Yarrowia lipolytica: one gene and its partner. The protein of the gene in region 2 interacts with the protein of the main gene of each other region in a pairwise test. Links are inferred from orthologs where the notes say so. Each region holds a gene or a part of one and is shown on either strand. Other genes may lie near its edges.

Region 1 (5,517 bases), on a different chromosome or scaffold from region 2:
TGGTCACCAGAGAATGCACGGTTGAGAGACTGTCGGCCAAGAATCAAGAGAGGCTTTGGGTACGCCTTTGTGGAAACGGAACCCTCGAGAACATTGTAAGGGGATATGGTGAGGTTTCCCTGGAAAAGAGTGCCGTTCTTGATTCCTCCTAGAAGTCGAGACATGGGGTAGTATTCAGGGTAAAGCGCCTCGGACTTGCCGCTCTTGGGCTTGGCTCCCTCCTCCTCCTCAAGAGCTCGCTGAGGGATCATATCGATGAGCTGGCCGGGGTCCACAAGCTCGGAAACGTATCCCTTGAGACCGAGGGCAGTGATTCCCTCCTCCTTTGCCAATTTTCGGTTGTTGACATCATTGGAAAGCAGAACCACCTCGGGCGCGGTCCCGTTGTAGTCCTTACCAAGATGTTGGGTGTAAAATTCGCACACCTTTCTGATGGCTCTGTCGTTTCGGTCGTTGATGGACTCTCCCTTGTTTCGACCAACAGCAGTGTCCTTGCAGTATTCGTTATGAAAGACGTAGAACCGCTTGTCGTCGTTCTTGGTGAGGGCTCGCAGTCGCGCATAGATAGGCAGCGATCGGTTTCGCACTTCTTCCAGCACAATCTGGGGCACAATCACATCATAGAAGCCCTTGTCACTTTCCAGCAGATCGATACCGTCCAGGACAATGTTTGTGTCGACAACGAGGTAATGGGGGCCACGCTTGGTAGTTTTGTTAGGCTGGGTCTCGAGAATGGGCTCTTGTCGCTTTCCAGTGGCGTCAGCAACATACAGGTTGTTCTTGCAGTACTGACAGCCCTGGGACGAGCAGGGGATATCATCTCGAAGGTATTGCTCTCGAACGACCTTGGTGGCGTTGCCGGCCTTGGAAGTTCGCACAAACACCTTCTGCGATAACGTCGAATGGTTCGATGCTCGTTTCACAGCAGACATTGTGTTGTAGTTGTGATGAAGATAGATCTGAAGTTTACCCAACTCAATAATTTTTTATGCACTGCACTGATACTTGAAACTTAGTGCAAGCATGAAGGCGTTCCGGATCAGAGGTGGGAGAGAAGGAGAACAGTATAGAAGTATGATGCAATTAGTGACCCATTAAATACGTCGGTACGGTCGCATTATTTATGAATTCCACTGTTGACTCATATTACAAAATTGTAATCACTACACCTTCTTGTTTCAATTCTTAATTAATTCCGATGTTACAGTTGCAGAAGCTTCCATGGTTAGTAAAGTCTGACCATGCACGAGTGATTACGTACACATCATCTCTCAAAACCAATATCCGGCAACGTAACATACTAAATGATTATCTAGAAGCCGTGTACATCCATCATTATTCAATTATCAATATATTATCACAGATTCCCATTCTATTTTGTCTTCTGACCCTCCAAATGCTGAACTCGCAGGTTCTCAATCATGCCCGAATATGTCTGGAAACCAGACCGCTTCTCCAAATACAGGAAGGGATTCTCACCCTTGAGCTCAAGTTCGGAAGCAGCATCGGCGAACTTGACGGGCTTCAGAGTGCCGGCGATGCTGAGCACCGGAGTGAAACAAGCCAGAAAGACACCAATAAGCGCTTCGATTTTGATCTGGGTTAGTTGGGGGTAAAGACGGGCAATAAGTCGGACAGTCGATCGGCGTTAGGTAATTCAATCGCTTGAGTCATTCAATCGCTCTTCGTTGATTCCTTTAGTCGTTTTAGTCGTTGTGTCGTCTGTTCGTTGGTCTCATGAACTCACGTCAATGGGAACGGCTATTTTCTGGGCCATCAACTTGGCATTGTAGGAGGCCTCGTAGGCCGAGTAGCCGCTGTGGGCAATGAGCAACACAGCCAGGGTATACAGGGCAATCGAGGTGACCGCCATTTTTAGAGTCGTTAGGTGTGATGTTGGTGGACTGAACTTTGTATGCACCTGCTTACTGTACATACAGGACGATGCATGCAGAGGTGAGTGAGGTATGGCAGTGGCACACCACAAAGTATTGTACAAGTACAGTAGCTACCGTACAGTATGTACTGTGTGTACTCATTAAATAGCAAAGCCTTCATCTTTTATATCTATCCCAAAATACAGCTCTCTTCCCGTGCACCCCCCACAGAATTATCAGAGACGTCAGATCATGTGACTGCGAGTCTGAACAGCTTTTCAGTATGTACTGTAGTTCGCTTGGTCTCATATTGGGGGAATGAAAAGAAAGCGGTCAAGTTTGCAACATAGACAAGAGCTACCGAATAATTGTGTTACACTGTCAGGGTTACAAGTATCTGTATTTGTGCGATTCTTGTACGTACGTACACAGTATACTAGGTACTACCGGTGCTCATACCCGTACCGTATTGTACGATATCACCTCTTACGCACACTGTGTGAGTTCTGTACACCCTACCATTGCTACTGTGTAACAAGTCGCAAGGAGCATAACAACCACAATGGACCAGGATACACGACGACAGGAAAATAATATCAACAGGAGAGTTTTGGAGTTATCAGCAGGCACAAAATTGTGGACATTAGTCTTTTCTCTTTTCACTTGTCGGGTTGATACAGTTTGGCATTCCCGTAGGAGGCTCATATACTGTACCACCCCCCTCTCTCCAACATCCCATCCCATCCCCACTTTAGGTTAATTTCGTTGCTGCATCGCACCACCATATCTACTCATACCGCATAAAGGCATCGTTCGAACTCAGCCATGTTTCTACCTGTCGCTGACCAAGAGCTGGTGGCACAAATATGCAACCTGAGAGAGCTGTCACCCGACGCCCAGCTGGCAGCCTGCAAAGCCCTCAAAAACGAAATTATCGGCCATGACGAAAAGAAGACCCGCTACCTCGAATGTGACGGAGTGGTGGTCTCTCTGGTGCAGGTGCTCCAGGACGGACCCTGGTCCGAAGAGCTGCGCACCCAGGCGGCGGTGATCATCGCCTCCTTCACCTCTGGCTGTGCTCCGCTGGTGCTGAACGAATTTGTGCGGCTCGGAATACACAGAGTCATCGTCACTGCTATTGTGGAGGCTGACAGTCACAAGGTGCAGTACATGAGCGCGCTGCTGCGAACACTGGCTGCTCTGCTCAAGGTAAACGACACGGTGGCAAACGAATGCATCGAAGACTCGCCCCAGCTGCTCAAGGCCCTGTCGCACCACATTTCTGTGCCCTCAACACCCCTACCCGTCGTCTCTCTATGCACTCCTCTTGTTCCGCTACTGGGACGTTCTCGCCCTGGAGTGCAACGGCTAGGAGAAGACCTCAGCGAACCCCTTGCTGCTCGTATCCTTTTACTCACCCAACAGTATCTTTCCCAAAGAGATCGAATCCCCTCTATCTACACAGAACCCCTGGCGTCAGCAGTTTTTGCACTGAGCCATGTGGTTCGCCACAGCTTAGCAATGAAACTGCTGGAGGGAGAGGTGGGGACTGCGGGCACCAACTGGAGCTCCGGACGTCTCCTACAAGACCTCTTCTTGCTACTACGAGCAGGAGACACCCAAGTGCGACTGGCTGTCTGCTTCCTGTTTTCTAACCTGCATCTGCATATGCCAGCATCACAACAGCTCGAGATTGCCCGGCCTCTATTACCTGTTCTAGTGCCCATGCTGTCCGGTCCAGAAGACACCGACCCCCGAGTGTGCAAGACTCTAGCCCTCCTCTGTCGAGACCATATAGATATGGCAACCTTGGCTGCTGAGGCCCGTGTCATCGAACTGGCATGCACTCTGGTGACTTCCAGGGTACCTGAAGTCGAGCCCTCTAACCACTGCAACCAGCTGGAAGAAGTCATTGCTGATGCTCTTCTTCTAGTGGCAGCTATTGGAATGCATAAGGACTCCTTCAGAGCTCGAATTGTCGACTGTGGGGTCTTGTCGCATGTCATCAAGATTATGCGAATGAAGACACCTCCATCTGGAGACCCTCGAGCTCGAGCGGTGCGAAAGATGAAAATTTCGTCATGTTACCTTGTTCGAGCTCTTTCTCGAAGTGTATCGTTGCTGCGAACTGGATTTGTTGACGAAGAGGTTGTAGAAGGTATCATCGAGCTTCTGGACGAGACTCCCTCGGAACCAGTGAACGCAGAGCCTGATAACATGGATCAAACAGAGGACGGAGAGTCTCCTAACATTGAAGATCTGGAGGTCAAGGCTGCCATCATGGCGTCCATGTGCAACCTCATTCTTCCCTTTTCGCCCTTTAAGAAGAACATTTTTGAACGAGGTGTATTGCAATCGATTATCGCTGGTGTCAACTCCGACTATACTCCTCTGCGACTCAACTCCACCTGGGCTTTGAGACACGCAGTGCTGCCGCCTGACAACGACGACAGACTTATTGAGGAGGCAATGGGACTGTTGACTTGCAAACGTCTGCTGACCTTGCTCGGTGATACTGATATCGAAGTCCAGGAGCAGGCCCACGAGTTGATACGGAACCTGATGATGAAACAGGCCAACTTTGTTGAGGTCTTCTTTTCCCAGGTGGAGGCTCGTGAGTTCATGCAGCTCCTTGAGAACAAGATTGATATCATATCTCGCCAGCATACCGAGACTGTGGCCGAGAACACAGCCACTCACTCGTCTTCACAGATCAAGCTTGCCAAGACTGTCAATGAGAAGCGCCAGGTATACACACGCATGCTCAGTGCCATCATTTACACTCTGGCCCATATTGCTGCGGGCCCCGAGGAGTTCCGATTCATGTTGATTGAGCAGGAGTCTATTCTTGTCAAGGTTGCCGAGTTCACTGGCCATCGACATTACGATGTGCGTGCTGCATGTGCGTGGTTGGTCATCAACCTGACCTACGTGGACAATAACAACGACCGTGAGTGTCGTGAGGGCGCTAAGCGACGAGCTCGTGCTCTTGTCAAACTGGGCTACAAGGAGAAGTTGGATGCGCAACTGCGTGATCCATCTTTGGATGTTGCCGAGCGAACCAAGAACGCACTCATTACGCTTGAGTGGCTGTTGAACGAGAACTAATAGTATTTATTGTAAATAGGGGTGTGTCATTCTACCGAAAGTGTCATTCGTACTGTTAACTGTGTTTATATCATTCGAACTATACTCGTATTGAAATTGTAATTGCTGTCTTGTCAATCGCATTCATATATTCATTACATAAGCCGTCCTGTATCACTAAACAATGGCCTTGAAAGAGGTGAAGATAGCAGAGGCAATGAGAGCAACCTGGGAGGTGATGTTGAAGAAGTTGGGGGGCATTCGTCGGTTGGGCTCGCCGGTCGAATAGGCCAGCACGTAGAGGAACCGGGAGATTGCCCAGACAGCAATGAGACCAGCAGCCTCCTTGGGGTAGGAAACTCCGGTAATCCAGCCGGCCAAAAGAGTCAGGTTCACGTTCTCGGTGAACTGTAGATGGGCCTTCTGTGCACAGTTGAATCGCTTCTTGGCCGCATCGATCTTGGGGTCGACCTTAACAGTCTCGTCAGCGAAGAGGAGAGGGAACTTGGTCTTGGACTTTGCTCGCCAGTAGAGAGTGTTGAGAGAGTGGAAG
Region 2 (5,979 bases):
AACGGGTTGATCTCTCGACTTACTAATCAATCAGAGTGGTCCGTGGCTGTATATCCATCATATTGTTCTCCGATATCGTCAAGTTGCCCGCAACGGTATCTTCTAGTGGAGGACCTACACTTACTTTCTATAGTCGTGTTGAACAAGGAAAATGTATCTGATGGTTGTTTGGGCTACGCGATTCATCCTTGAGCATCCACCAGTTGGTTGAGGTTCGCTTGTTGGAGATTTTGCCTCTATGTCAATGTAATGAACTGTCTATAGTTGTATAGTTGTAGTTGTAGTTTTAGACATGCGTGCCAATTGGGCTCTGTGGTGTCAGGGGGCCCTTCTCACTGCTGTCCAGCCAGTTAGTTGGCCTCCTCGCACACCTTCTTCACCTTGGGGTAGATGTAGTCCGATAGCTGGGGGGGTCCGTCGGGAGTGATGATTCTGTACTGGAAGTTCTCCTCATAGGTGTCAGGGTTGATCTTGCCCTCGTAATCCACCACAATCATGCCCATGGTGTCCTGGACGTCGGGAACTCGAGCCTGCATGGGGGGGTTTCTGTTGTCAAACACGGGGATGTAAAGGGTTCCGCCGGGGGCAGAGCCCTTCTTTTGCTTCTGGGGAGGCAAAATAGAAAAGACCTGGCCCGCAGCAAAGTCCTTGACCTGGGGGTCCTTGTAGGCGTCCTTTTTGAGCACCTCGTTGAGCACCTTGAGGAAGTCGGAGTTGCCTTTGTCGAACACTCGGGGGTCGCAGTACAGGTTAGAGAGACAATCGGCGTCGGTGACGGAGTCCTGGCCGTACAGGGTCTGGAACTCCTTGAGCGAGTAGATTCGGGTCTCCTTGTGGGTGTGATCTTCATCGGCGTCCGGTCGATAGATGGTGTGTCTTAGAGGCGATTCTTTGGGGTCTAGAAGCGTCTTCTTGATGGGAGAGATGGACGTGGAGGCGCAAAAGACGGCCAGAGGGTCCGGGGAAAGCGACACGGTGGCGGTGATAGAGTCCACGTCTCGAAGATGCTTGAACTTTTGTCGGAACTTATCCGTGGTGTCTTTGTCGAGCAGATGGACGTGGTAGCGGGGGTTGGCGGTGCCCACGGTGATCTGGCGGATCTGGACCGACGGAAATCGGGCGGTTTTCAGCGATTGAAGCGTTCGGAACATGGTTGATGGACTTGTGTATGTGTTGAAGTTACTTGGATGGTGCTGATGATGAGTCGTCAATTGCTGTGCAGGAGTCTGCAGATTGCTTATGCGGGGAGATGGGCGAGATTTGGGGCGGTGATTGTGGAGGAATTGGGGGAAATTGCGGTTGGGGGAGGCTGTGGCGGTATTCTGGGAGGCGGTTTGAATCGATTTTTCCACTTTTTGCGTGGTTTCAAACACCGTGGCGGCTCTTAGAGACACTCTTGTAGCCTCATATTCATGTGATTTGTGGTGCCTGAGTGCTTGCGAGTTTAAATTATTGTGCAAAAAAGGCAGGACAGAAAAAAGTGATTTTGATCGGGGAACAGACGGAGATAAATGACAATCGAACCGGTATTTCGGTGTTTTATTTTGTCAGATTGGAGAGATGGGCCCGGGTTGGATATTGATGTTTGGTATTTGTGGATTGTCTTGTCTTGTCTTGGTTGCTGGTTCAGAGGGTATGTTTAAAAGAATTTAAAATAAAAATAAAAATAAAAACAAAAATAAAAATAAATTAAAATATAATATAAATAAAATAATAAAAAAAAAAATAAAAATATAAATATAAATATAAATATAAATATAAATATAAATATAAATATAAATATAAATTATAAATTATAAATAAATTATAAATTAATAAATAAACATAAATATAAATATAAATATATAAATGCCCTCTCTCCATGCTAGATTACATAAGCTCTCTCTGGGTGGTCAGTACCAATGGGGGTTTATTCAATTGTCATCCTACCACCAGTATTTGATATTCAAATCTGTCTAATTTAGTTAAGTATTCCTAACCTATAGTTAACATTTGGTTAGAAAGATAACATCCAAATGAGAGTCGGTTGAAACGTGTTCAGAAACATACAGACACTCATAGACGATAGTCGAGGGCTGTGTGACAATTTTCCGACCCATTTCAAGCTATATATCGACGGTTTTTGTCTCACAATGGCTTTGTCCAGAACTCGCCAAAAAAAACACGTGTTTCTGTATAAGACCACTATAAGAAGGACTGATATCGGCACATCCAAGTCCCTCAGCACTCCAAAACTAATCTCAATGGATTTCTTCACTCTTGGCGAGTTCAAAGATACCAACATCTCAACCACTTCCCATACAAAAATCCCCACCTCCGACTCTGTTCCTCCCACCTCTCAGCTCAGCTCAGTGCATAGCATCCACATTCAGACACTGCTCCAAAACCCGCCACGGAAATCGCATCGAGAATCCAAAACAACCATCGTATTTGTCCAATCCTCACAAACACACTCATCTCATCCATTCTCTTCACAGACAAAAACTCCCCCCATTTCACCTGCCCAACATGCCCCGATGCATCTTACTCTCAACTCTGAACCTTGTCAGACTCCTCGACACAACTAATGAAACATTTCACAACGCTCATTGTGGTGTTTGTGGCCATCAAGGCATACTTGGTAGCGCTTGCGCTCGTGGTCCCCCGGCAATATGACACCTCTTCGACCTTGCTGTTCCCCAACAACCGTTTTCTGTCGCGTTTGGTCATCTGGGACTCTGTGTTTTTTGTGTCCAGCGCAGAGCGATCCCATCTGTACGAACACGAATGGGCCTTCAGCTGGATGTGGTCCCGTGCTCTGGGACTCGCCGGATCACGTGACGCCATTGCCTACACGGCGATCGCCGTCTCGTCGCTGAGTCATCTTCTGGCGGCCCTCATGCTCAGAAAACTCACCGAGTCCGTTTTCCACAACAAGCGGTTTGCCGAAACCACCGCGCTCATGTACATCTTGTCGCCGGCGGGCATTTTTCTGGTGGCGGGATATACCGAGTCGTTGTTTGCGCTTCTGTCGTTCACAGGTTTGTACTTGAGACAGCGGGGCCAGTACCCGTTGGCAGGAGCAGTTTTGGGAGCGTCCTGCTTACTAAGAGGCAACGGTCTGCTGTGGGGAATCCCCTTTCTGTTTGATCTGGCCTCTGCCATCAAGCACAACCAGTTCAACAGGGGAGTTTCTGTTGTTATTGGCGGGTCTCTGGTTGGAGCGGTCTTTCTGTACACCCAGTACCTGCCCTGGTCCATCTTCTGTCCCGAGCGCGACGAATGGTGCAACTACTACATTCCTAGCATCTACGGCTATGTTCAGCAGCGGTACTGGAACGTTGGTTTCCTGAGATACTGGACGGCCAACAACATTCCCAACTTTCTGTTTGCCGCCCCAGTGCTCTATCTCATGTACCAGTCCATGTCGACCAACCCGTCGCTGGTTCCTTTCTACACGGTGCATGCCATCATGGGTTTGGCGTGTGTCTTCATGTGGCATGTTCAGATCATCACCCGTATCTCCACCTGTCTGCCGACCCTGTACTGGTACATGGCCAAGCTGGCTCAGGGGTACAATGGGCACTATGTGGTGCGCTACATTTTCGTCTGGATCACCTTTCAGGTGGTCATGTGGGGTGCTTATTTGCCGCCTGCGTAGGAACCTGAGGGTAGGGAAGGAGCGCAAGCGATGTTGCCGTCCCTGATAGCCAGCTGAGCGGCCGTCGTCATTGGGGAATGTGATTCTCGGCTGTCTACAGCAGCAGCATCATGGTCGGTCTATGCATGGATAGATCGACTGAGACATGGAAGGTATGGTTCAATGTCAAGGGTGGGCTTGGGACAGAAGCAGTGACAGATGGAAGTTACTGAGTCTGAGTCTGCGACGGAGGGGGGTGGTGAAGTCCGAGTCTGAGACGGTGGAGCCTTATCTTTGAGATTAGAAGGATGGACTAGAATAAAATAAGCAATCGACACTAGAGCATGACGAACTGGCGGCACGAGCACAAGGACACTACGCGTACAAGGACACTACGAGCACAAGTGTCGAGCTCGGACGCTACTAGTACAATTACCAGTACCGGCACTCGTACCGGTAGTCTCAGCACTAGCCTCTGTGGCGCACCTGAAACCTGAGTCAATCAATAACCACCAATAACCAATAACCACCATCCACCATCCACCAATAACTACTAACCACCTCCTGGAAGATCTCCGATCGTGCATCTTTTCTTTGTCGGGTGCTTCCGATATGAATGGGGGGCTGTCCTCGTATTGTATACGATGCAAGTACCGTACTGGTTGCACATTCCATTGGCAGATTGGACAACAGATCAGCAAGTCTGTTATAGGAAGTTTTCAGGGGTTAAAGGGGGTGCTAGCTCCCGTACATACATATCAGCGCTCTTGATAACGACACCAATCCGAGCATTGTTATCACCCGAACAAAGAGCGTACACCAACATGCCAACCCGATTATCTCTTTTCCCAATTCATTCTCGGTTCTTTCGCCGATATCTCGGTTTTCGCCCGTCTTTCTCGGGTTTTTTCCTTCTCTCGCTCTCTCTCGGTCTCGCTCAGTCATAACCACCTCTACCAAACCTTAGCCACCTTCGCCACAGTGGCTGAAGAATCCGATTGGCTGGGCTGAGCCACGTGAAAAAGCTAGCCACTTAGGGTACGGGTTTTGCCGCTTGGGGAAGCGCCGTAGCAAGTCGTGGCCGGAAAATGCCGCAAGCTCCATTCCACCTGACAGGGGCCCCGCGAGCGGCCCAGCATCCCAGAATCCCCCCAAGCACGACATGGACTACCAAGTCGCCACAAAGCCACGATTAAAATTATATAACTGCCAGGCACATCTGCACCAAAGGGCCATTGGTACCGTTTTGTGATTTCTCCTCACACAACTACATTGATACTATCCAAACTGTGGCTTTTTTAGACTTTCTAAAATTGCTCTCTTTCGGCGGGACTCTGCATAACCAACGCACTGCAGTCTGTCTTTAAGGTTTGGCTGCACCACACTACCCCCCTTTGCTTTGTCCGACACAAACACAAATCCCCCAGGCCTGCGGGTATAAGTAGGGAGGGCGAGCACGTCATTTCACGCTCCAGAATTGCAACATTTCACGTGACCCGAAATCACAAAGCGCCAGCCAACAAGACCCAAAAAAAAAACACAAGCACACACACACAAAGACAGCAGCGCTAAGACCATCGAGCCCTGCATTATCCAAGCACTGATTAAAAAGAAAAACCCCCGTATCATTTTCTATCGCTCTTAATTACTATCATCATGGCTCCTCCCCCCACTCTGTCCATGTCATCCAACAATGTGTTGGACAAAATGTCGCCTCCTCGACAGCAGCAGTCTCGGCTGGAAAAGGGCCGAAAGCAACTGCCTGCGGGCATTGCGCTGCCGTGCTCGGAGCAGATTCTCAGAAAGCTTTCTGTGTCGTCCTCCGAAGACGAGCGACAGACGGGGTTTGAAATGCTCCAGGAGGGCATCCGAACAATTCTGGGCCCGTCGTCCGGCATTGATTCCGATGACGTCAACGTCGAAGACCTCATGGACATCATGACCCGGTACCACTCCATCGAGTCCGAGTGGAAGGACTTTGCTCTGGAAGAACCCACTCGAGGATACACCCGAAACGGAGTGGACAACATCAACAACAAGGCCAACCTGCTTCTGCTGGTTTGGAACCCCGGAAAGGGCTCGTGCATCCATGACCACGCCGACGCCCACTGCATCATGAAGATCCTCAAGGGCAACCTGGTGGAGACTCTCTACGAGTGGCCCGAGGAAGGTGTCGAGGGCCCCATGAAGGTCATCAAGGAGTCTGTTCGATCCGAGCAGCAGGTGGCCTACATGTCCGACAAAATCGGCCTGCATCGAATCAAAAACCCCAGCGAAACCGAGGTGGCTGTCTCTCTGCATCTTTACACCCCTCCCTGGGCTGCCGAATACGGCTGTTCCATCTTCGACGAGAACACCAG

What was found. The genes of interacting proteins can lie anywhere in the genome.
Region 1: the proteins of YALI1_F15403g (region 2) and YALI1_E04349g interact in a protein complementation assay, tested with the Saccharomyces cerevisiae proteins (2 studies listed by BioGRID). The link is inferred for Yarrowia lipolytica from reciprocal best matches to the Saccharomyces cerevisiae genes GPI18 and EMC5.

The regions. Positions count from the first base shown.
Region 1 is NC_090774.1:431,328-436,844, reverse strand, and holds YALI1_E04349g (uncharacterized protein), read right to left. Parts: upstream 1,874-5,517; coding exon 1,748-1,873; intron 1,598-1,747; coding exon 1,373-1,597; downstream 1-1,372. Other genes in the region: YALI1_E04359g (uncharacterized protein), read right to left, coding at 1-932; YALI1_E04341g (uncharacterized protein), read left to right, coding at 2,703-4,985; YALI1_E04312g (uncharacterized protein), read right to left, coding at 5,142-5,517. UniProt on the Saccharomyces cerevisiae protein: Part of the endoplasmic reticulum membrane protein complex (EMC) that enables the energy-independent insertion into endoplasmic reticulum membranes of newly synthesized membrane proteins.
Region 2 is NC_090775.1:1,536,974-1,542,952, reverse strand, and holds YALI1_F15403g (uncharacterized protein), read left to right. Parts: upstream 1-2,566; coding exon 2,567-3,640; downstream 3,641-5,979. Other genes in the region: YALI1_F15418g (uncharacterized protein), read right to left, coding at 351-1,151; YALI1_F15387g (uncharacterized protein), read right to left, coding at 3,760-3,971, 4,044-4,206; YALI1_F15377g (uncharacterized protein), read right to left, coding at 4,927-5,048, 5,104-5,248; YALI1_F15367g (uncharacterized protein), read right to left, coding at 5,303-5,979. UniProt on the Saccharomyces cerevisiae protein: Mannosyltransferase involved in glycosylphosphatidylinositol-anchor biosynthesis. Responsible for the transfer of the second mannose to the glycosylphosphatidylinositol during GPI precursor assembly.